2 linked regions of the Anolis sagrei genome follow. The protein of the gene in region 2 purifies or fractionates together with the protein of the main gene of each other region. This does not show direct contact. Links are inferred from orthologs where the notes say so. Each region holds a gene or a part of one and is shown on either strand. Other genes may lie near its edges. The genes, in order: UBE2O and FGF11.

Region 1 (12,219 bases), on a different chromosome or scaffold from region 2:
GGGCACTTGGGTGGGGAAGAAATATTAGCCCCAGGACCCAATGCTAAAATTTCTTGCCTGAAAGTAGGCATCAATATTTTTGCAAAACAATTGCTCCCCTGATTTTGCCCTTGACATGTTGTATTTCATAACTGAATCTTCCATCATTCCCAGATAACCAATTGTTTAGGGAGCCATGTTAGGAAAGAGATAAAGAACATCTGCATTAAATTCTACATCCTAAACTGTGTAAGATTAACTTATAGATTTCATGAAAATTTTAGTTCAAGTCAAGGGAAAGGTGCACAGAAATCTCCAAACTGCAGCTCTGGGAGCAGGACTCTGAAAACAAAAGGCCATCAAAGACTGCTGTGCTGGGTTAATTTTTTGGGATTTTTTAAAAAAGTGTACGAGAATCTTTTTTTACAATGACTGCCATCCTATCAGAATTAGTTTCTCCACTGCAGCACTTTTTAAAAGGCAAATCACACATGGTTGAATGCTGTTTAATTATTCTACAGTTAGCCTTCTAAAATGGTTACAAAAAAGGAGTCTACATGCACATGACAGATAACATCTATCTGCTCCCAGACTAACTTCTAGAGACCTAGAGAAAAAAGATTTTAAAAACTTTATAAATCATATTAGCAACTTTAGAATAATATTTCCTCCAAAGGCATACAACAAGAGAATAGGAACATTTGTTTTTATGCAACTGTGTTGCGTATGCTATAATTTCATGGAACATCTGATCCCACTGAGCTGTGCTCATCCACTGTAATGATAAACCATAGCTTATAATAACAAGAGCAGGCTTCAGAGAGTGCATGTTGTCCTCTCCAGCCCCCGTGGCTCAAATGAATTCAGAAAGTTTTTTGTTTTTTTTCCTGAGGATGATTTGTCTTATTATTTTGAAGGACAAACAGTGGTTATCACTAATTTTGCTTCATTTGAAATAACTTTAAGCCAAGGTTTAAAGAAAAGGGGGCAGCATGCAAGCTCGGTTTGCCTCAAATTGGATTTATCAGACTGAATAATAGTTTGGGGTTCTGCAACACATGATCCTCGCACAGATTTTTTTTTAAAGTGCAATTTCACAGTTCCAACAATGGTTAATTAAAATTGGCAAAGATAACAGTAAAATCTATATCTATATATCTATATCTATCTATATAATAAAAATGAAAATATGTTTGTATGCTTGTGTGTGTGTATATATGTATGCTTGTTTACGGACGATTTCCAAGAAGGCTCCCACTTCCAAAGAGCCCTGTGCCATCCACTAACAATGGATCTGGACCACACTTACACACTTGGAACACCAACACCCCCCCCCCCCCCCGAACAATATAAAATACTGAAGGGATTTGGGGAGGGGTTGACCCGGTATTTTGGGATTTATAGTTCACGCACATCCAGAGAGCATTGTGAGCCAAACCAACGATGGATCTAGACCAACTTTGCACTGATACCCATAATGACCAACTTTGAATACTGGTGGGATTTGGGAGGAGGGGGAATTGATCCAATACCGAGTTATAGTTCATCCACATCCTTATGTGTTTTCTAATCAGAACATTAATTAAAAAACCCCATGAGCAAATAATGACTATTTCTTACAAACAGCATTACAAAAGACCTAACTCAAGCATCGGCAGGTACCTAGGCTAGTATTAAATACAAAAGAGACATCTTGGGAACAGCAAGAAAGAGAGGATAATTCCATCTCCTGATGCCACTTCACTACTTGCAGGCCAGCACAAAAGCAGAAAGAACAATTCACGCAAAGCAAGTGAGGGGAACTTGTGGGGATTGCCAGCTACTTCTCATCAATAAATAGTGGGGGATGGGTTAACCATGGAAAGGAGGCGGACTGGCAGCAGGATGTGCATGGGATCATGCAACAGGGACCAACATCAAGGTGGCAGTCCAGCTTCAATGCCAGATTGCCTGCCTCATTCAATGAAGTCCTCAGTTGCCTTCATACAGTGATACATTCACATGTCACAATTTTAGTGAGACATTACAGAATATATACATACAATAAGGAAACAGATATCACACACAGGACAAAGCATAGTATATACAGGGTGGGACCACGGCTGACCCTGTTTAGCTTTCAAGATCAGACAAAATCTGGTATCTTTGGCCAATATATATCTTACCTAATGTTACGAGATATATGATCGATTTTAAGAAACCACAGTACTCTAAGCTGTATAGATTATGTCTTACTGGATTTATTCTATATGTATTTGGATATTATATCACAGGCATGCAAAAATGGTAACATAGCATATTAACAAATCGAGTGCAGCATTGTTTAGATTCAAAACTACATAGTACTATCAAAGAGCGCCACCTGTTGGGAAAATAAAAGCTGCCAAACTGACACTATAAGAGGCAAAAAATCTGTTCAAAGCAGATGGGGGAAACAGAAGGGTCTCTTTACAAATTTTACATTCACTAAGATGTGGGTGGGTTACAGCTGAGTGCTGCTTTTCTCAGCATTTAAATAATTGATCCAGAGGTGTAAATATCTTTTGCAGATCTAGGAGCATTATCTAAGACAGTGGTGACACGCTTGCCAGGAGCATGCAGCACCCTCTCTGTTGGCATGCTTGCCATCGTCTCCCCCCCGCCCCCAACCCTGCTTGCACATCCTCAACGTAATTTTCTCTATTATTGTCCCTTTGGCAGACAGCCTCAAGGGCTTCTACCTTAAAGGAGGTGTTGAAACTGACTTCAGAAATTATATTTCTCAGAGGAAAGGGTTTCATGACCCCCAGGTTAAGATTTCCTGGTATAATATTACAAGTGGCCACAAAAATAATTCCTGAGAAGGTGGGATCACAATGCAAGTCCTGCTCCAACCTTCTCATTTTTTTCCACCAAAACCTTCTAACTGAGGGACAAGAAAGTCAATGCCCTCCAAAGGTTGTTAAATTCATCAGTTGAGGCAATGTTGAGGATAGATGGGAATGCAGTCCAACATCATCAAAGGGCTCTCCTATTCTGCCACTTGTAATATTATACCATTCTGTCTCTCCAACTTATGTGATTTGGCATGTTCTGTAAAAAGAAGGGGAATACCATGCTGCTTTCCTGCCATCAGCAGGTAGGAATCATTGCCCAGGTATGGTAGAATATCCTCACCACCCCCATGTAGTATTGGTTTAGTCCCTTTAGTGTTTGTTAACATGTATTTTTCATTCAGCTTTAGAAAGTTAACTCCAGGGTCATGGAATTTTGACTCTACAATCTGAATAACACACAGCATTATACAAGACATACCAGACAACTTAACCACCCAGTAATTCTGAGTACATGACAACACTACTCCTTAGAAATTTCTAGTAACATAGGCAACTCAGTATATCACACTTTTACTTCACAGGAACCTATGGGTAAGAGATATCTCTACTTATTACTGTGATTCCAGTTAGAAAACAAAATATCCACAAGATGGAGCCAGAGTTTCCAGAAAGAGAGAGGGAGGGAGGGTGGGACAAGCAGCAATAAAGGATACAGTTGTGCCCAGAAGCTGAATTACACCTCTCCTGGGCCACTGGGGCTTCTTGCTATTTATACGATAGCTGAAATGAAAACCCAGTAATCTGAACCATAATGGCTATTTTTCAAGCAAAAGCAAAATATAAAAAAAACTTAGAATATTTGGAGAAGAAAAGTACACACTAAAGGAGATGGAGAAACAGGAGTTCAAATGTCATGTACACATATACATCACATTGGGGGTAAATTGGGATGGGACACATATGGCCTTCAATTGATGGGCTGCAACTTCTATTATGTTATACTGGTTAGGGCCGATGGGAACTGAAGTTTATCATCTGGTGGACTAAACATTGCTCACTCAGTTTAATGCTTTGCATTACTGTTCTAAAAACAAAACAAAAATCCCATACATAATGGATTAGAAATATAAAGGCAAAATATGATACTGCATAGAGAACTCAAGTAGTTTCATTTTGCCCTGAAGACTTAAGTTTCACATATACACATCAAAACATCATTAAGATGATGGGACATTGTTTCTCTTTTGCTTTGAAGGGCATGGTTCTTAGAGACAAGACTTAAATGTAGCAACTTCTTGAGCTTTGTGCACCTTAGTAATATGAATCTCCACACTTGTTCCTAGGAACAACATAGAGATTTCAATGTAGAGCACGTGGATACCCTTCTATAACTTGGGTATGTGGGTTATCTTTTATAACTGTAAGATTAATCAGATCTTAAGAAATTATTTTTATGTTTCCCTTAGTTGCAGCTATCCATTTATACTATATTCATGTCCATGGAAGGATGCAACAATTGCACTGGGAATAAATCTTAAGAATGGCTGTTAAAGCCTCATATTTAAATTATTCTGTTAAAATACTTGCACAATATATTGTACAAAATTACACTGCCAGCCTTGATTGCTAAACACATTGAAGATAATGAATAAGACCTGGGGCGAGATTTTTTGTACAATTAAGAAATTAATGCTAAACTCTCAATAAAATCACTATACTGCCTCTACATTTATAACATTAATACTATCTCATTTTTTTCTCTATACAGAAACAAAGCTTCACTCCCCACAGCTTCTACTTAATTGGGCTTTTATATCAGGACCTCTTGCACTAGGATGACCATTAGACTCTTGTGAGCATGAGACATTAGCTCCAGAAACTCCCATTGCCTTCCCAGCTTCTGAATTTCCATGTCACAATTAGACTCCCTCAATTTGCTTTACATCTAAGCTAGCAGTGATGGATGTCCAAAGGAGTTAATTGAGAGTAGTGCACTCAAATTATTCCCATACCAGACTTTAAGGGTTTTCAACATCACAATAATAGTACCAAAATTATACCCTGATTATTTTTATTAGGTAAAGAAAACACCTCTCTCCTCCTTACTTTCAAATTTCAAAGCAACCTTTGAAATTGAGTGTATTCGATTTTGCTCTTCAGACAATGTTTCTCTCCCATGCCTTCAATTCCTCATATCCACACTCTTGCAGCCATCAATTTAATCATTGTGTTTATGCTTTGGCTCAAATTTTCTACTCCCCCCACCAAGACTTTCCCTCCTTCTCCTCCTGCATCTTTGCTGTTGTGTGTCTTCAGTCATTTCTGAAGTATACCAACTCTAAAGTGAACCTATCACAAACTTTTGGGGCATGACTTGTTCGGAGGAGGGGGCACCTTTGTCTTCCTCTGAGAGAGTGTGACTTACCCCAGGTCACTCAGTGGGTTTCCACAGCCAAGTGGGTATTTGAACCCTGGTCTCCCGGTCTTCACTCTATGCTCAAATCGCTGCCCCACACTGGCTCTCTTTCCCCATGATTCTTTCTCTGGGCCTAAGCTACAATACAGACCCAGAATGAGACAAAGGGGGCAAATGCACAACAGATGGCTTAATTTGAAATCCTCTTTTTCCCATTTTATCTTTGTTCGTTTGCTTTCCATTTCACTCCTTGTCCGCCTTCCCATTTTGAGAGCCACTCCCTCCATCTTCAGCAAGACACTCATGGACAGCCAACTTCAAATTACTTCCTGCCCCTAACAGGGAACAAAGCCAGGTAGGGGCCTTTGGGGGCAGACACTGGGGAAAGGAGGACAAAAAGGGAAGGAGGTAGAGACCCACCCCCAAAGGTCCCTCTACTACACTGTAGAAGGCCTTTGGCGTTCTCTGCTAAAGAGTGGTGGTGCCTCGGCAAGCTCCAAATCCTGGGATTTCATGGCATTGAGCAGTGATGGTTCCAGTGGTTTGGAACTGCCTTCATCTGTAGCAGGCATGGGCAAACTTTGGCCCTCCAGGTGTTTTGGACCTCAACTCTTACAATTCCTAAGAGCCTCAGGCCTTTTCCTTTTCTCTCTCAGCCGCTTAAGCAGAAAAGCTTAATGCCATCAATTGGGGACCCCTTCCCCCAGCACCAACTGCTGCTCTGGGCCAGAGTAAAGAGAGAGGGGGACAGTTCCATCTTGTCTCCTGCATATGTCATCAGCTGGGGACCCCTCCCCACAGCACCAACTGCCGCTCTGGGCTACAGTGAAGGGGAGGGGGGCAGAACACAGTTCCACCTTTTCTCCTGTGCTATTCTAATCATATAATATAATATATTGTGTATATACATATAATATTTATAATAATGTAATGCAATATAATAATATAATTATATATTTCTATTACATGTAATATTACTAATATTACATGTATAATATAGTAATATTTAATACTGATATTGTACTATGCTAATAATATAATATATTGTATGCATATCTTGTAAGCCGCTCTAAGTCCCCTTCGGGGTGAGGAGGAGACTCAGAGATATTTTATTTATGTCGTAAATAAATAAAATAAAGGGAAAAGGAAGGGGGGCTGAGACTGTTAGGAATTGTGGAAGTTGAAGTCCCAAAACACCTGAGGGGGGGGGGGGGAGGGGGAGTTTGCCCATGCCTGCTGGAGATGAAGGCAGTTCCCCACCATTTGAACCATCACGGCTCAATGCCATGAAATCCTAGAATTTGGAGCTTGCCGAGGCACCACCACTCTTTAGAGCAGTGGTTCTCAACCTGTGGGTCTCCAGATGTTTTGGTCTTCAACCCCCAGAAATCCTATCAGTTGGTAAACTGGCTGGGATTTCTGGGAGTTGTGGAGCAAAACACTTGGGGACCCACAGGTTGGGACCCACTGCTTTAAAAGAACGCCAAAGGCCTTGTAAAACTCCAGCTCCCAGGATCCCAGAGCATTCTGCCATGGCAGTTACAGACAAACTGCATGGATTCTGTCTTGTGGATGCGCCAAGACTAGGGAAGGGGAGCACCTGTCAGCTCCGCCTCTGCTTTGCCTCGTAGGGTGGGAAGGGGCGCCATCTTATGATGCTCTACTTGAGGCATCAAAGGCCTGTGAGCACCTTCTGGAGCCCTCCTCCTCCTCACAGAGACACGCTCGCGATTCTCCCTGTTTTCTGTGCTGTGTGCCACAGCCCTCTTCGGTTGTGAAAGCTGCCTTCCCTCTCTTCTCAGGCGCCGAGGCCTTCCCTCCATCCACCTCCATCCCCTTCAGAGAGGAAGATGTAGGCCCGTCCCTCTCCCCTTCTCCCTCCCTCCCTCCTCAGGCTGCTCTTGGCCCCGCCCCCTCCTCGCTTTGCTATTTGACGCGAGGCGTCGCCATCTTGGAGCCCCGCCCCCTACCGAACGCGGACTGCGCCTGCGCGCGCCGGGAAAGCGAGCAAGCGAGTGAGCGAGAGTGAGCCAGGCGGCCGCCGTCGCTGCTGCTGCTTCTCTCCCTCCCTCCCTCCGCCCGCCTCCTTCCTTCCTTCCTCCCCCCTCAGCCATGGCGGAGCCGCCACCGACCACCGGGACGCCGCCATCTCCAACGCCGCCATCAATAGCAACAGCAGCACCCGGCGGCGGCTCGCAGCGCCTCCTCTTCACCCATGACTTGGTCTCCGGCAAGTACAGGGGCTCGGTGCGCTTCGGCCTGGTCCGCGTCATGCACGGCGAGGACTCCGACTCTGAGGAAGACGACGGCGGGGGAGGAGGAGGAGGAGGGGGCGGAGGGGGAGGAGGACGAGGCCCAGCAACAGCAGGAGGAGGAGGAGGAGGGGGCAGCTCGGCGGGCTCGGAGTCCGGGGGCCCCGGAGGAGGAGGAGGAGGGGAAGAAGGCCGCGGGAGCCCCCTCCGCCGCGGCTACGTGCGCGTCCAGTGGTACCCCGAGGGCATCAAGCAGCACGTCAAGGAGACCAAGGTAGGCCCCTCCCGAGTGGGCAAGGAGCGGGGGAAAGGAGATGCCGAGGCAGGAGCAGCAGCAGCAGCAGGCCCTCTGTGGGCGTGGGCCTGGTGGGGGCTGCGGCAGGGGAGGAGGAAGAGGAAGGGCCGCCCTGAGGAACCTGAGGGAGGGTCGGGGGTCTTAAAGGAAAGTTGGCGAGGAAAGAGGGCGGTGGCAAGGAGGGAGAGCGAGGAGAAAGGACGGGGACATGCTCTCCCTCTGTGTGTGTGTATTCCTCACACATATATACAGATATATATATATATATATATATATATATATATATATACACACACACACACACACACATACAGATATATATATACAGATATATACACACACAGTTACGACTGTGGAATGACCTGCGGAAGAGCTCCAACAGCTAAACAAACTCAACACCCATCCCTTCTGGCAGGCCTACCCAGTCAACTTGCTATCATGTGTTTTGATTTGCACTCTATTGCCACGACTGGCGGAGGTGGGTGAGCGATGGGGTCTCCTCAGTGGTGGCCCCTCGCCTGTGGAACTCTCTACCCAGCATTCGAACAGTAGTAGAGGCAGCAATTGAGAATGAGACACAATTTATGTGAATGACAATGGACTGACCTGGACTACAATTTCAAACCTGTGTGATTTAAACAATGTTTGAGTAATTTTATGTTCTAATTGCTTTTATTGTTTATTACTGTTGTTGGCATTGAATGAATACCTGTTGACAAACTTGAATTGGAAAATGACTCTGGAACGGCCCAAGACGATGGAACTGATAAGGACTTGAATGAGAGGATATAGTTTATAGCTTTTAATATTGTTATTATGCACTGGCTTATGTCTAATTGCACTATAATGGTTCTTTTGTTTATCAATGTATGTATTTTTATGGCATCGAATTGTGCCGATTGTGTACGCCGCTCTGAGTCGCCTCCAGGCTGATATGAGCGGGATAGAAATAATGCAAAAAAAAAAAAGTTGTCAAGCCGCCCTGAGCCTCCCTCCGGGGTGAGAAGGGCAGGATACAAATATGCAAAATAAATATATGTCAATTTTGTAGCAGTGTTTGGTATAAGTTTTCAAATGTCTGTGCTTGGCAATGCAATTTAGTAATTTATTGTATTTTTATTTACTTCACTTGTATTCCGCTTTTCTCACTCGGGGGTGTGTGTGCTCAAAGCTGTTTCCAACATGTGTTGTTGAAAGCTTGCGTGGCCGGAATCACTGGGTTGCTGTGAGTTTTTCGGGCTATATGGCCATGTTCCAGAAACATTCTCTTCTGACATTTCACCCACATCTATGGCACGCATCCTCAGAGGTTGTGACCTCTCAACCTCTGAGGATGCCTGCCATAGATATGGGTGAAATGTCAGGAGAGAATGCTTCTGGAACATGGCCATACAGCCCGGAAAACTTATAGCAACCCGGTTTCCAACATATTTCTGACAAAACATAATGCCTCGCATACATATGAAACCTAACATAAAGCGAGAATAATATAACTATCAATTAGATCATACAAACCTAACAACATTTAAACATTAAAACATAGAATTAAAACATATTAATATAAATGGTAAAATCACATAATCCAGAAATAATGGTCCAAGGCCATGTATTTTTATGTTTGTTTGTTTGTTTTTTAATTAGTTGTACCCCTCCTTGAGCCATCAGGGAAGGCAGATAATGAATAAAATGTATTACTATTATTATGCACACAATCTCACACACATTGATATAGATATACATATACACACATAGGTTCTCTCTCACACACATACACATATATACACAAAAACATATATACATTTGCACATATATAGATACACATCCATCCCCTCATACGTACCCTATACACACACCCACACACATATATATACATACTCTCACACAAATAAATATTGCTAAAGATATATACTTTCTCTCTTACATACAGATATATACACACCCACACATATACTGAGTGTGCCAAAAGTCACAAAGGGGTTTCAATATTTAATAATTCCTTTGTGCTTTGTTTTTAATTTACAATGTTCACAAAAGCATATATAGAATATATAGGAAATGAAATTGAATTACATTATATATAAAATCTTTTCAAACAAAAATTTCAAAGAATTATTGAAACATTAGATGCCTTTGTGAGTTTTGGCCCACTCTTTGTATGCACATTTATATATTTACATACATGCACTCAAACATACGTATGCATACATAGATAAGCACACATGTGTACATATATATACTGTATATACACTCACGTGTATAGCTCACACATGCATATATGCATACATACATTCCTTCAAGAATGCTACTATTGATTGATATTATAAATACTGTATTATCTCAGGCCAGTGTGCTCTGAAAAAGCTGCCTTACATTGTCCACATTGCATTGTACAGGTTGTACAGTTTTCTATTTTGGAAAGAAAATCATATTTTTTTTCTCTCTCTCTCTCTCTCCCTGTCCCCCAAATAGGTTACATTCTGTGCTCCCCCTTCTCCCACCATAATATTCTAGAAGACTTCTTTCACCATTTTAAAAAATATGTTGTTAGGCAACATGCTTCTATTCAGCATCCTGAATGCTCCAGGCCTTCCCTGCAATCTGTGTTTTGCGGGTTGTTCAGGTAGTCAGGAGTTTGGACGTGGTCTCTCAGACTCTTCTGCAGTGACATCTGCTGATTGGTATTGCTGTTCTGCAGAAGTTCATATTTTTTTACTGCATGGTTTCAGATATGGATGGGGATGGAACTTATTTAAGAGGGAAAAAACATCACTGGAGACCATTATTTTTAGCAAATGTTTGGATAACTATAAATACTTGTGATGCCTCAATGTATTAATTGAGAATATTAATATTCTTGGAAGTGAACTATATTATGGCATAGGGGGAGTTTGTTGTTAGTTGCCACTATAGTAGTAAGTGGTTGGTAGTGTAGGAGAAGCAAATGTAGCAAGCCTTCTAAAATGAAGGTATTAATGGTTAAATACTGTTGGTTGGAGCAAAAAAAAAAAAAAGGTTACTGTTTGGGTAGGAGGGAAAACATTGTCTTTGCTCCAGTATGCATAATTGATGTTATATAATTATGCATAATTAAAAACTGAAGGGCGTATTTATATCATGAGACACAAGTTGACATGAATTGCTTAAAAAATAACAGTGTACATGTCAAATAGCTAACTTGCATCTCATTTGAAATATTGAGAGTGATACTAATATTCTGTGAACTCTATGTTAGGTTTTCAAATGTTATGGAGAAGAATGACTTACTCCAAATATGTAGAACAAAAGAGAGTGAGGGGTGGGCCCAGATGTAATATGAGAGGACCGATGCATTGTGTGTATCTTGAGAAGGAGTGGCATGGATATGCTGTGATAAGTGAAAGTATGTACTACTCATATTCTTATTAGCAGTCCTTGGCCTTGAAATCATGTGTATTTCTTTGAGAATAATGCGATGCATTCACTATGACCAGACACTTCTTTTCTGGCTGTGATTAAATCCATTAAGTTCATAGCAAAGAAATCAGCAATGACAATATTAAAAAAAGCCCTGGAACCCCCTAAAAAGATAGATATTCATAATTTTTCACATAGATTCTGAGAATATTTAAAATTTTGGATATAGGCTTTCTGTGACAAAGCTTGGTCTGTATAAATTCTAAATTATTCCCAAGGGTCTTATTTTTACTCAGGCTTTTTGGTTTCATAGTGAGGCTAAAATTGTAAGATGTCACTTGGGGAAAACAGTAAACCTAATTATAGTGTGCTTTCAAGTCTTTTTGGTTGTTGTGTGCCTTCAAACTATTTCCAAGTTTGGCTCACCTTAGGATTTCCATATCATTGCATTTTCTTGTCAAGATTTGTTCACCTGACATTTGTCTTTGTCTTCCTCTGAAGTTGAGAGGGTATGCAAATTTTGTACTCTGTCTGGGCATTGTATCTTTTTACCCTGTTTCCCCTTCCCTTCAGCTCCCTCACCCATATTGTGCTTCAGTAGTTATATTTATATTTTTAATGTACCAAACATACCAAGTTTGTATGAAAATGTGACTATTTCCTGTGCTGGTCAATGACCGAAATAAATGATTTGATTTGATTTGAGAGGCTATGACTTACCCAAGGTCACTCAGTAGATTTCTGTGTCCTAATGGAGATTTTAACCTTGGTCTGCAGAGTCCTAGTTCAACACTCAAATTACTACAGTGTGATAGCTCTTAACTTTCTTTAGACAGGAGTAAATAAAAGTATAAACCATCTATTTCATAGGCATGGATTCAGATCTGTACTCTTTTAAGAATTCAACAAGATGGCCAAATATTAGCTTGAATAACCCCATAGAGACATAGAGTTGGAAGAGACCACATGGGCCATTTAGTCCAACCCCCTGCCATGCAGGAAAAGCACAGAGTACCCCTGATAGATGGCCATCCAAGGCAGGAGCTTCCACCACACTCCATATGCTTG
Region 2 (12,302 bases):
CTGCTGTTGACCCCAAGGCATTGCAAATAATGTTAGAGATGCCACACTTGGACAAACCAAAGCCACCTTTGGGAACAACCCACAAAAATATAGATATCCATGCAGAATCCCATTACCCCCATCATTCTTGCTATCCACCTCAAGAAGGATGCCCCCTGCTGTTGACCCCAATGTATTGCTGATAATGTTAGAGATGCCACACTTGGATGAACCAAAGCCACATTTGGGAACAACCCACAAAAATATAGATATCCATGCAGAATCCCATTACCCCCCATCATTCTTGCTATCGAGCTCAAGAACAATGCCACCTCCTGTTGACCCCGATGTATTGCAGATAATGTTAGAGAAGCTACACTCCAACATCAAAATTGGCAAGAACCAAGGAAAATAGAGGGTCAATGCAGTGTCCCATTTCCCCCAAAAGTAGGGTTCACCATTGTTATTGACATCAGGCATGATGCCCCCTACTGTTGACCCCAAGGCATTTCAGATGCCTGTTAGAGATGCCACACTCGGACGGACCAAAGTTACACTTAGGGAAGAACCCAACAAAATAGAGATGCCACACTTGGACAAACCAAAGCCACATTTGGGAATAACCCACAAAAATATAGATATCCATGCAGCATCCCATTACCCCCCATCATTCTTGCTATCGAGCTCAAGAAGGATGCCCCCTGCTGTTGACCCCAATGTATTGCAGATAATGTTAGAGATGCCACACTTGGACAAGCCAAAGCCACCTTTGGGAACAACCCACAAAAATATAGATATCTATGCAGCATCCCATTACTCCCCATCATTCTTGCTATCGACCGCAAGAAGGATGCCCCCTGCTGTTGACCCCAATGTATTGCAGACAATGTTAGAGATGCCACACTTGGACAAGCCAAAGCCACCTTTGGGAACAACCCACAAAAATATAGATATCCATGCAGAATCCCATTACCCCTCCATCATTCTTGCTATCGACCTCAAGAATTATGCCCCCTGCTGTTGACCCCAATGTATTGCAAATAATGTTAGAGATGCCACACTTGGACAAGCCAAAGCCACATTTGGGAACAACTCACAAAAATATAGATATCCATGCAGAATCCCATTACCCCCCATCATTCTTGCTATTGACCTCAAGAACGATGCCCCCTGCTGTTGACCCCGATGTATTGCAGATAATGTTAGAGAAGCCACACTCCAACATCAAAATTGGCAAGAACCAAGGAAAATAGAGTGTCCATGCAGTGTCCCATTCCCCCCAAAAGTAGGGTTCACCATTGTTATCGACGTCAGGCATGATGCCCCCTGCTGTTGACCCCAAGGCAATTCAGATGCTTGTTAGAGATGCCACACTTGGACAAACCAAAGCTACACTTAGGGAAGAACCCAACAAAATAGAGGTCCATGCAGCATCCTGTTACCCTCCCCCCCCCCATCATTCTTGCAATTGACCGCAAGAAGGATGCCCCCTGCTGTTGACCCCAAGGCATTGCAAATAATGTTAGAGATGCCACACTTGGACAAACCAAAGCCACCTTTGGGAACAACCCACAAAAATATAGATATCCATGCAGAATCCCATTACCCCCCATCATTCTTGCTATCCACCTCAAGAAGGATGCCCCCTGCTGTTGACCCCAATGTATTGCTGATAATGTTAGAGATGCCACACTTGGATGAACCAAAGCCACATTTGGGAACAACCCACAAAAATATAGATATCCATGCAGAATCCCATTACCCCCCATCATTCTTGCTATCCACCTCAAGAAGGATGCCCCCTGCTGTTGACCCCAATGTATTGCTGATAATGTTAGAGATGCCACACTTGGATGAACCAAAGCCACATTTGGGAACAACCCACAAAAATATAGATATCCATGCAGAATCCCATTATCCCCATCATTCTTGCTATTGACCGCAAGAACGATGCCCCCTGCTGTTGACCCCAATGTATTGCAGATAATGTTAGAGATGCCACACTTGGACGAACCAAAGCCACGTTTGGGAACAACCCACAAAAATCTAGATATCCATGCAGCATCCCATTACCCCCCATCATTCTTGCTATCGACCTCAAGAATTATGCCCCCTCCTGTTGACCCCAATGTATTGCAGATAATGTTAGAGATGCCACACTTGGACGAACCAAAGCCACATTTGGGAACAATCCTCAAAAATATAGAGATCCATGCAGAATCCCATTATCCCCATCATTCTTGCTATCGACCGCAAGAAGGATGCCCCCTGCTGTTGACCCCAATGTATTGCAGATAATGTTAGAGAAGCTACACTCCAACATCAAAATTGGCAAGAACCAAGGAAAATAGAGGGTCAATGCAGTGTCCCATTCCCCCCAAAAGTAGGGTTCACCATTGTTATTGACATCAGGCATGATGCCCCCTTCTGTTGACCCCAAGGCAATTCAGATGCTTGTTAGAGATGCCACACTTGGACAAACCAAAGCTACACTTAGGGAAGAACTCAACAAAATAGAGGTCCATGCAGCATCCCATTACTCCCCATCATTCTTGCTATCGACCTCAAGAACAATGCCCCCTGCTGTTGACCCCGATATATTGCAGATAATGTTAGAGATGCCACACTTGGACAAACCAAAGCCATATTTGGGAACAACCCACAAAAATGTAGATATCCATGCAGGATCCCATTACCCCCCATCATTCTTGCTATCGACCTCAAGAACGATGCCCCCTCTGTTGACCCAATGTATTACAGATAATGTTAGAGATGCCACACTTGGACGAACCAAAGGTATATTTGGGAACAACCCACAAAAATATAGATATCCATGCAGAATCCCATTATCCCCATCATTCTTGCTATCGAGCTCAAGAACGATGCCACCTACTGTTGACCCCGATGTATTGCAGATAATGTTAGAGATGCCACACTCCAACATCAAAATTGGCAAGAACCAAGGAAAATAGAGGGTCAATGCAGTGTCCCATTCCCCCCAAAAGTAGGGTTCACCATTGTTATTGACGTCAGGCATGATGCCCCCTGCTGTTGACCCCAAGGCATTTCAGATGCTTGTTAGAGATGCCACACTCGGACAGACCAAAGTTACACTTAGGGAAGAACCCAACAAAATAGAGATGCCACACTTGGACAAACCAAAGCCACATTTGGGAATAACCCACAAAAATATAGATATCCATGCAGCATCCCATTACCCCCCATCATTCTTGCTATCGACCTCAAGAACTATGCCCCCTGCTGTTGACCCCAAGGCATTGCTGATAATGTTGGAGATACCACACTTGGACGAACCAAAGCCACATTTGGGAACAATCCATGCAGAATCCCATTACCCACCATCATTCTTGCTATTGACCTCAAGAAGGATGCCCCCTGCTGTTGACCCCAAGGCATTGCTGATAATGTTAGAGATGCCACACTTGGACGAACCAAAGCCACGTTTGGGAACAACCCACAAAAATATAGATATTCATGCAGAATCCCATTACCCCCCATCATTCTTGCTATCGACCTCAAGAACGATGCCCCCTGCTGTTGACCCCAATGTATTGCAGATAATGTTAGAGATGCCACACTTGGACGAACCAAAGCCACATTTGGGAACAACCCACAAAAATATAGATATCCATGCGGAATCCCATTACCCCCCATCATTCTTGCTATCGACCTCAAGAATGATGCCCCCTGCTGTTGACCCAGATGTATTGCAGATAATGTTAGAGATGCCACACTCCAACATCAAAATTGGCAAGAACCAAGGAAAATAGAGGGTCAATGCAGTGTCCCATTCCCCCCAAAAGTAGGGTTCAACATTGTTATTGACGTCAGGCATGATGCCCCCTGCTGTTGACCCCAAGGCATTTCAGATGCTTGTTAGAGATGCCACACTCGGACAGACCAAAGTTACACTTAGGGAAGAACCCAACAAAATAGAGATGCCACACTTGGACAAACCAAAGCCACCTTTGGGAACAACCCACAAAAATATAGATATCCATGCAGAATCCCATTACCCCCCATCATTCTTGCTATCCACCTCAAGAAGGATGCCCCCTGCTGTTGACCCCGATGTATTGCAGATAATGTTAGAGATGCCACACTTGGACAAACCAAAGCTACATTTGGGAATAACCCACAAAAATATAGATATCCATGCAGAATCCCACTACCCCCCCCTCATTCTTGCTATCGATCTCGAGAATGATGCCCCCTGCTGTTGACCCCAATGTATTGCAGATAATGTTAGAGATGTCACACTTGGACGAACCAAAGCCACATTTGGGAATAACCCACAAAAATCTAGATATCCATGCAGCATCCCATTACTCCCCATCATTCTTGCTATCGACCGCAAGAATGATGCCCCCTGCTGCTGACCCCAATGTATTGCAGATAATGTTAGCAAAGCCACACTGAAGGAAAGCAGAGGGTGGGAAGTCCCCCTGTCCCCCACAATGAGGCCTTGGAGGGGGTCAGGGCCCCTCTTTTTTGGGGTGCAAGACTGAGGAAGACTTACCCGGCGTCTTCTCCAGCCGGCCCTTTCGCCCCCCGCACAGCCTGACTTTGGAGATGAGGAAGAGCAGCTGTTTCTGGCATAGGGACTTGGTGCCCCGCGGGCAGACCTTCCTTTGGGTGGAGACGGGCCGGCTGGCTACGGGGTCCCGGATCTCCCGCTTCTGCCGGATCAGGGAGCTGGCTAGCGCGGCCATAGCTGCCCCATCCGGGGGCAAAGGGCAGCGGGCCCAGGAGGGCGAGGGGGATCCGAACCCAGGCCCCTTCTCCTCCTCCTCTTCCTCCTCTTCCTCCTCCTTGGCTTCTCTTCCTTCCTGGATGAAGGGTCAACTTGTCTCCAAAAGTCGGTTTCCTCCTGCCGGTTCCGGAGATAAGGACAAAACCCAAGGTCTGACCGAGAAAGAGAAGAGACATAAAAAAGAGAGAAAAATATATATACTGATACAGAATAACCTATATCGATATATAGCAGTGCTTCATCAATATCAACGTATAGAGACGAGATGCCATCTCTCACATCCGGCGATGGCAAAAGTCCTAAGAAAGACCGGGTGGCGAAAAAAGAGAAAAGAGGGTGGGTTCTCTCCGGCTTGATCCCATTCGTGCTCCTTGATTCGTTCTTTCTCTTTTTCTATCTCCCCTTCTTTCGTTCTTTCTTTCCTCTCTCTCTCGCTTCTGTTCTTTCTTTCTTCTCTCTCTGTGTTCTTTCTTTCTTTCCTCCCTTCTTTCTTCCTCTCTGGGAAAAGGTGGGGGAGGCGCAGAGGAGGAGACCCCAATGTCCTTCAGAGCTTGGGAGGTTAATTAGGAAGGGAGGATGGGGAAAGGGATGCCAGCGGAGAGAGAGAACCAAAGGAAGAGAGAGAAAAGGGTAGGTGGGTGGCTGGCTAGGAGAGGGACCTGGCCAGCGATGCTAACCCAAGCGTGCAAGGGCGTGTTTGGAGTGTGTGCGAGAGTGTGCGGTTGTGCAAGGGAGAGTGTGTTTGGGTGTGTGAGTGTGTGGCGGGGATGGAGGAGCGAGGGAATGGAGCAGACGAAAAGGGAGGGGTGGGAAGGGATGGAGAAATGGAGAGAGAGAGAGGGATTTTGTCACACTCGCACAGGACAAAGCCAGCCAATATGGGGAAGGCATCAGTCTCAATTTGGGGACCAAGAGGAAGGCACCCGGAAAGAGAAACCACCCTCTTTTATCCCTTTTTTCCATCCCTTCTTTCCTAGGACTTTTGGGCATTGCAAGGTGGGATCTTGTCCTAGCAATCCTATATATTGATATAATATATATATATGGTCCTGTGTGACTTTTGGCATTGCAAGGTGGGATCTTGTCCTAGCAATCCTATATATTGATATATATTATATATATAGTCCTGTGTGACTTTTGGTATTGCAAGGTGGGATCTTGTCCTAGCAATCCCATATATTGATATATTATATATATATGGTCCTGTGTGACTTTTGGCATTGCAAGGTGGGATCTTGTCCTAGCAATCCTATATATTGATATATATTATATATATAGTCCTGCGTGACTTTTGCCATTGCAAGGTGGGATCTTGTCCTAGCAATCCTATATATTGATATATAATATATATATAGTCCTGTGTGACTTTTGCCATTGCAAGGTGGGATCTTGTCCTAGCAATCCTATATATTGATATATATTATATATATAGTCCTGTGTGACTTTTGGCATTGCAAGGTGGGATCTTGTCCTAGCAATCCTATATATTGATATATTATATATATATGGTCCTGTGTGACTTTTGCCATTGCAAGGTGGGATCTTGTCCTAGCAATCCTATATATTGATATATATTATATATATGGTCCTGTGTGACTTTTGCCATTGCAAGGTGGGATCTTGTCTTAGCAATCCTATATATTGATATATTATATATATACAGTCCTGTGTGACTTTTGCCATTGCAAGGTGGGATCTTGTCCTAGCAATCCTATATATTGATATATTATATATATATATGGTCCTGTGTGACTTTTGGCATTGCAAGGTGGGATCTTGTCCTAGCAATCCTATATATTGATATATTATATATATATAGTCCTGTGTGACTTTTGGGCATTGCAAGGTGGGATCTTGTCCTAGCAATCCTATATATTGATATATTATATATATATAGTCCTGTGTGACTTTTGGGCATTGCAAGGTGGGATCTTGTCCTAGCAATCCTATATATTGATATATTATATATATATGGTCCTGTGTGACTTTTGCCATTGCAAGGTGGGATCTTGTCCTAGCAATCCTATATATTGATATATTATATATATATAGTCCTGTGTGACTTTTGGGCATTGCAAGGTGGGATCTTGTCCTAGCAATCCTATATATTGATATATTATATATATATAGTCCTGTGTGACTTTTGGGCATTGCAAGGTGGGATCTTGTCCTAGCAATCCTATATATTGATACATTATATATATATGGTCCTGTGTGACTTTTGCCATTGCAAGGTGGGATCTTGTCCTAGCAATGCTATATATTGATATATATTATATATATAGTCCTGTGTGACTTTTGCCATTGCAAGGTGGGATCTTGTCCTAGCAGTCATATATATATGTGTGTGTGTATGTATGTGTGTGTATGTGTGTATATATATATATATATATATATATATATTCCGCTTCTCTTTCCTTCTCAGTTAGTCCTTCACATAGGTTTCTTTTTGGGGGGGGGGGGAGTTGATGGCTTACAAAGTGGGGTACCCCTTTAGAAGGAGACCCTCCCCATGGAGAGAATGAAAGAATATATATATATATATATATATATATATATATATATATGAAGACCCATGGGAAGGAGACCCTCCCCATGGAGAGAAAGAATATATATATATATATATATATATATATATACACACACCATATATATATACCATATATATATATATATACATACACATACACATACACACACACACCATATATATAGCATATATATAGCATATATATATACATACACACACACACACCATATCTATCTATCTATCTATCTATCTATCTATCTATCTATCTATCTTGCAATGATTAAGGGATACAGATACCTGAACCTGTCCTTCCAAGTGTCCCAGCCTGATGCAACCAGAGATAGAGCTGCAAATAATTACATTTTTCCCCCAATTGGAGGGGATGATAGGACCCCAATAACTGGGAAGGGAACGAGGGAAGGAGGGAAGTGATAAGAAGGAAAAGGGCATTTCTGTCAAGGAGCCTTGGAAATCTAATGAGTCATGATAAAGGGAGCGGGGGTGGGGAATAAAAAGGGGGGGGGGCTTTCCCAAAGTCAATGGGGATTCCGGAAAGGAAGGTCTATGGATTGAAATGTAAACATTAAGAGGAAGGAATGGGAGTGGGAGGAGCATGATAGGGATCCCCTGCTAATAGTCCCCCATGCAATTATTGGGGTATCCCTTGGATTGCCCCCTCCCCAATGAATTGGGAGTTTGCAGACAGCGCCCCCTAGAGGATGCACTTTCTCCCCATGATACGAATGGCGCCCCCTAGAGGGAGACTTTGGGAGCATCTTTACTTTAGAATGAATGCCGTTTGACATGCGTCAATGCAATGGGATCCTGGGAGTTGTAGTTCTGCAAGGCCTTTCGCCTTCCCTGCCAGAAAACACCGGCGCCTCTTCAAAACTACAAGTCCTGGGATGCCATATTTCGAGCCATAGCCATTCAAGTGGGTTGTTGTAGGTTTTTTCGGGCTGTATGGCCATGGTCTAGAGGCATTCTCTCCTGACGTTTCGCCTGCACTTTGGAAAGCATCCTCAGAGGTAGTGAGGCCTGTTGGAGCTAGGCAAAGGGGTTGTTGAAAGCCTTCGACAATACATCAAATGCTAATTAAAGTGGTCAGTTGAAACATTCCCACCTAGCTCCAGCAGACAAGAGTCCTTTGCCCCACCCGGGTCATTCCACAGATATATAAACCCATTTTCCTACTTCCAACAGACCTCACTACCTCTGAGGTGAGGATGCTTGCCAAAGTGCAGGTGAAACGTCAGGAGAGAATGCTTCTAGACCATGGCCATACAGCCCGAAAAAACCTACAACAACCCAGTGATTCCGGCCATGAAAGCCTTCGACAACACATAGGCATTCAAGTTTGACACTACTTTCACTGCCACAGCCCAATGCTCTCAAATCCCGGGAGCTGTAGTTTGACAAGGTCTCTATCCTTCTTGAACTCTTGCGGCTCAATGCTATCGAATATTGGGAGTTGTAGTTTGGGAGCCTCCCACCAAAACTCTTGGTCACTCTTGGAAAACTAAAACTCCCAAATTGTATTGTCGAAGGCTTTCATGGCCAGAATCACTGGGTTGTTGTAGGTTTTTCCGGGCTATATGGTCATGTTCTGGAGGCATTTTCTCCTGATGTTTTGCCTGCATCTATGGCAAGCATCCTCAGAGGTAGTGAGGTCTGTTGGAAGTAGGAAAATGAGTTTATATATCTGTGGAATGACCAGGGTGGGGCAAAGGACTCTTGTCTGCTGGAGCTAGATGTGAATGTTTCAACTGACCACCTTGATTAGCATACTACCTCTGAGGAGGCTTGCCCCACCCTGGTCATTCCACAGATATATAAACCCATTTTCCTACTTCTAAGAGACCTCACCACCTCTGAGGATGCTTGCCATAGATGCAGGCGAAACGTCAGGAGAAAATGCCTCTAGAACATGGCCATATAGCCCGGAAAAAACTACAACAACCCAACTCCCAAATTCCCATAGCATGAGTCTTGAGAGTTAAAGTGGTGTGAACTTGCATTCGTTTGTCAGTGTAGATGCACCCTTGGATTTAAACAATAAGAGATTCCACCAAAATACAGAACTCGATGATGATAATTTCTAGTTCTCAACAAAAGATTGCCCCAGGCACTGCCAGGCCATCAAATCCTAATTAAGGTGGTCAGTTGAAACATTCACACCTAGCTCCAGCAGACAAGAGTCCTTTGTCCCACCCTGGTCATTCCACAGATATTTAAACCCATTAAAAATACAGAACTAGATGATGATAATTTTTTTAATTACCTATCTCTCCTTGCAATTCAAGCCTTTGGTTCTTCCTTCCAACTCTAGGATTTGGATTCTCTAGAGCAGTGTTTCTCAACCTGGGGGTCGGGACCCCTGAGGGGGTCATGAGGGGGTGTCAAAGGGGTAGCAAAAGACCATCAGAAAACACAGTATTTTATGTTGGTCATGTGGATTCTGTGTGGGAAGTTTGACCCAATTCTATTGTTGATCGAGTTCAGAATGCTCTTTGATTGTAGGTGAACTATAAATCCCAGCAACTACAACTCCCAAATGTAAAGGTCTATTTTCCCCAGAATCTACCAGTGTTCACATTTGGTCATACTGAGTATTCGTGCCTAGTTTGGTCCAGATCCATCACTGCATGAATCCACAGCGCCCCTCTGGATATACTACAACTCCCAATCTCAAGGTCAATGCCCACCAAACCCTTCCAGTGTCTTCTGTTGGTCATGGGAGCTCTTTGTGCCAAGTTCGGTTTAAATCCATCGCTGGTGGAGTTCAGAATGTTTTTTGATTATAGGTGAACTACAAATCCCAGCAACTACAACTCCCAAATTACAAAATCAATCCTCCCCCCCCCCCCCCCAACCCCATTAGCATTCACATTTGGGCATATTGAGTATTTGTGCTCAATTTAGTCCAGTGAATGAAAATATATCCTGCATATCGGATATTTACATTACGATTTATAACCGTACTAAAATGACAGGTATCAAGTTGCAACGAAAACAATATTATGGTTGGGGGTCACCACAACATATGGAACGGCATTAAGGGGTCACGGCATTAGCAAGGTTGAGAACCACTGAACTAGATGATGATGATAATTTTTTTGATTACCTATCTCTCCTTGCAATTCAAGCCTTTGGTTCTTCCTTCCAACTCTAAGATTTGGATTCTCTAGAGGTTTTTAATCAGAGGCTGGGAGGCCGTCTGTTGGGAAGGTTTGGATGGTGTCCTCCTGCCTGGCAGGAGAGGGTTGGACTAGATGGCCTTTGGGGATCCCTTCCAACTTCTAGGATTTGGAGGGTTTTTTTTTAAAGCAGAGGCCTGTCAAGAAGGGATTTGCTGGTTGGACTAGATGACCTTTGGGGATCCCTTCCAAACTCCTAGGATGGAGAAAGAGAAAGAAGTCCCTGAGCATGTACAGAGCGCCCTTCCTTCCCCATTAAACTCCTGGATCAGGCGAAAGAGCAATTCCTCGACCGACGGAGGCGTCTTCCAGGAGAGTTGTGTCCCAATTAAGTGTTGACACTACACACAAACCCAGCCACTCTCCCCCTGAAGTCGCCTCCTCCCGCCTCTCTTTGCAAGGCTGGCCTGCGGATCGATGCGAAAGCAGGACAGTTGTTGGAGAGGTCGATAAAAGCGCCACAGATCTATTATGGGATGCCACCGGCTGCAACAGGAGGTCTGCATCTAGTCTACACCCTGGATTTAATGCAGTTTGGCCTCATTTTAACCGTCAAAGGGACCATGCTATGGCATCATGGGAGTTGCGGAATGCATTGTGGTTTTGCAAGGCCTTTCGCCTTCTCTGCCAGAGTGCAAACTACAGTGAAAACGAGATCAAACTGCATTAAATCTACAGTGTAGATGCATCTAGTGTAGGAGGGAAAGAAGGGACAACACTCCATATACCTTCCTTTCGGTAAATATTGTATGTGTGTAGTCAGATAGAATATGGCATATATAAAAGGGACTAGATGACCCCCAAAGGTCATCTAGTCCAACCATCAAATCCCTTCTTGACAGGCCTCTGCTTAAAAAAAACCCTCCAAATCCTAGAAGTTGGAAGGGATCCCCAAAGGCCATCTAGTCTAACCCTCTTCTGCCAGGCAGGAAGACACCATCCAAACCTTCCCAACAGACGGCCTCCCAGCCTCTGATTAAAAACCTCTAGAGAATCCTGTGTAGTCAGATAGAATATAGTAAATATATGGCATATAGGTAAAGGTAAAGGTTTTCCCCTAACATTAAGTCCAGTAAGTATCCAATTCTGGGGGTTGGTGCTCATTTCTATTGCTAAGCCAAAGAGCCGGCATTGTCCATAGACACCTCCTAGGTCATGTGGCCAACATGACTGCATGGAGCGCCATTACCTTCCCACCAGAGCGGTACCTATTCATCTACTCACATTTGCATGTTTTCGAACTGCTAGGTCAGCAGAAGCTGGGCCTAACAGCAGGAGCTCACCCTGCTCTACGGATTTGAACCTGTAACATTTCGGTCAGCAAGTGCAGCAGCTCGGCAGATTAACCCACTGCGCCACCGGGGGCGCTGTGGGTTATGGCATATATAAAAGGTAAAGGTTGTCCCCTGACATTAAGTCCAGTCATGTCTGACTCTGAGGTGTGGTGCTCATCTCCATTTCTAAGCCGAAGAGCCAGCGTTGTCCTTAGACACCTCCAAGGTCATGTGGCCAGCATGACCGCATGGAGTGCTGTTACCTTCCCGCCGGAGCGGTACCTATTGATCTACTCACATTTGCATGTTTTCGAACTGCTAGGTTGGCAGAAGCTAGGGCTGACAGCGGAAGCTCATGCCGCTCCCTAGAATCGAACCTGCGACCTTTTGGTCAGCAAGCTCAGCAGCTCAGTGCTTTAACCACTGCACCACCGCTATATATATATATATATATATATATATATAGAACAGACATTGGCAAACTTGACACCAGGTATTTTGGACTCAGCAGAAGCTGGGCCTAACAGCGGAAGCTCTCCCTGCTCTCC

Evidence for each region.
Region 1: the proteins of FGF11 (region 2) and UBE2O purify together in Homo sapiens (affinity purification with mass spectrometry; 3 studies listed by BioGRID and IntAct, with this or other methods). This does not show direct contact. The link is inferred for Anolis sagrei from reciprocal best matches to the Homo sapiens genes FGF11 and UBE2O.

Annotation. Positions count from the first base shown.
Region 1 is NC_090022.1:119,356,619-119,368,837, reverse strand, and holds the start of UBE2O ((E3-independent) E2 ubiquitin-conjugating enzyme), read left to right. Parts: upstream 1-7,197; 5' UTR 7,198-7,323; coding exon 7,324-7,737; intron 7,738-12,219. UniProt on the Homo sapiens protein: E2/E3 hybrid ubiquitin-protein ligase that displays both E2 and E3 ligase activities and mediates monoubiquitination of target proteins. Negatively regulates TRAF6-mediated NF-kappa-B activation independently of its E2 activity.
Region 2 is NC_090026.1:3,537,556-3,549,857, forward strand, and holds the start of FGF11 (fibroblast growth factor 11), read right to left. Parts: upstream 5,553-12,302; 5' UTR 4,713-5,552; coding exon 4,520-4,712; intron 1-4,519.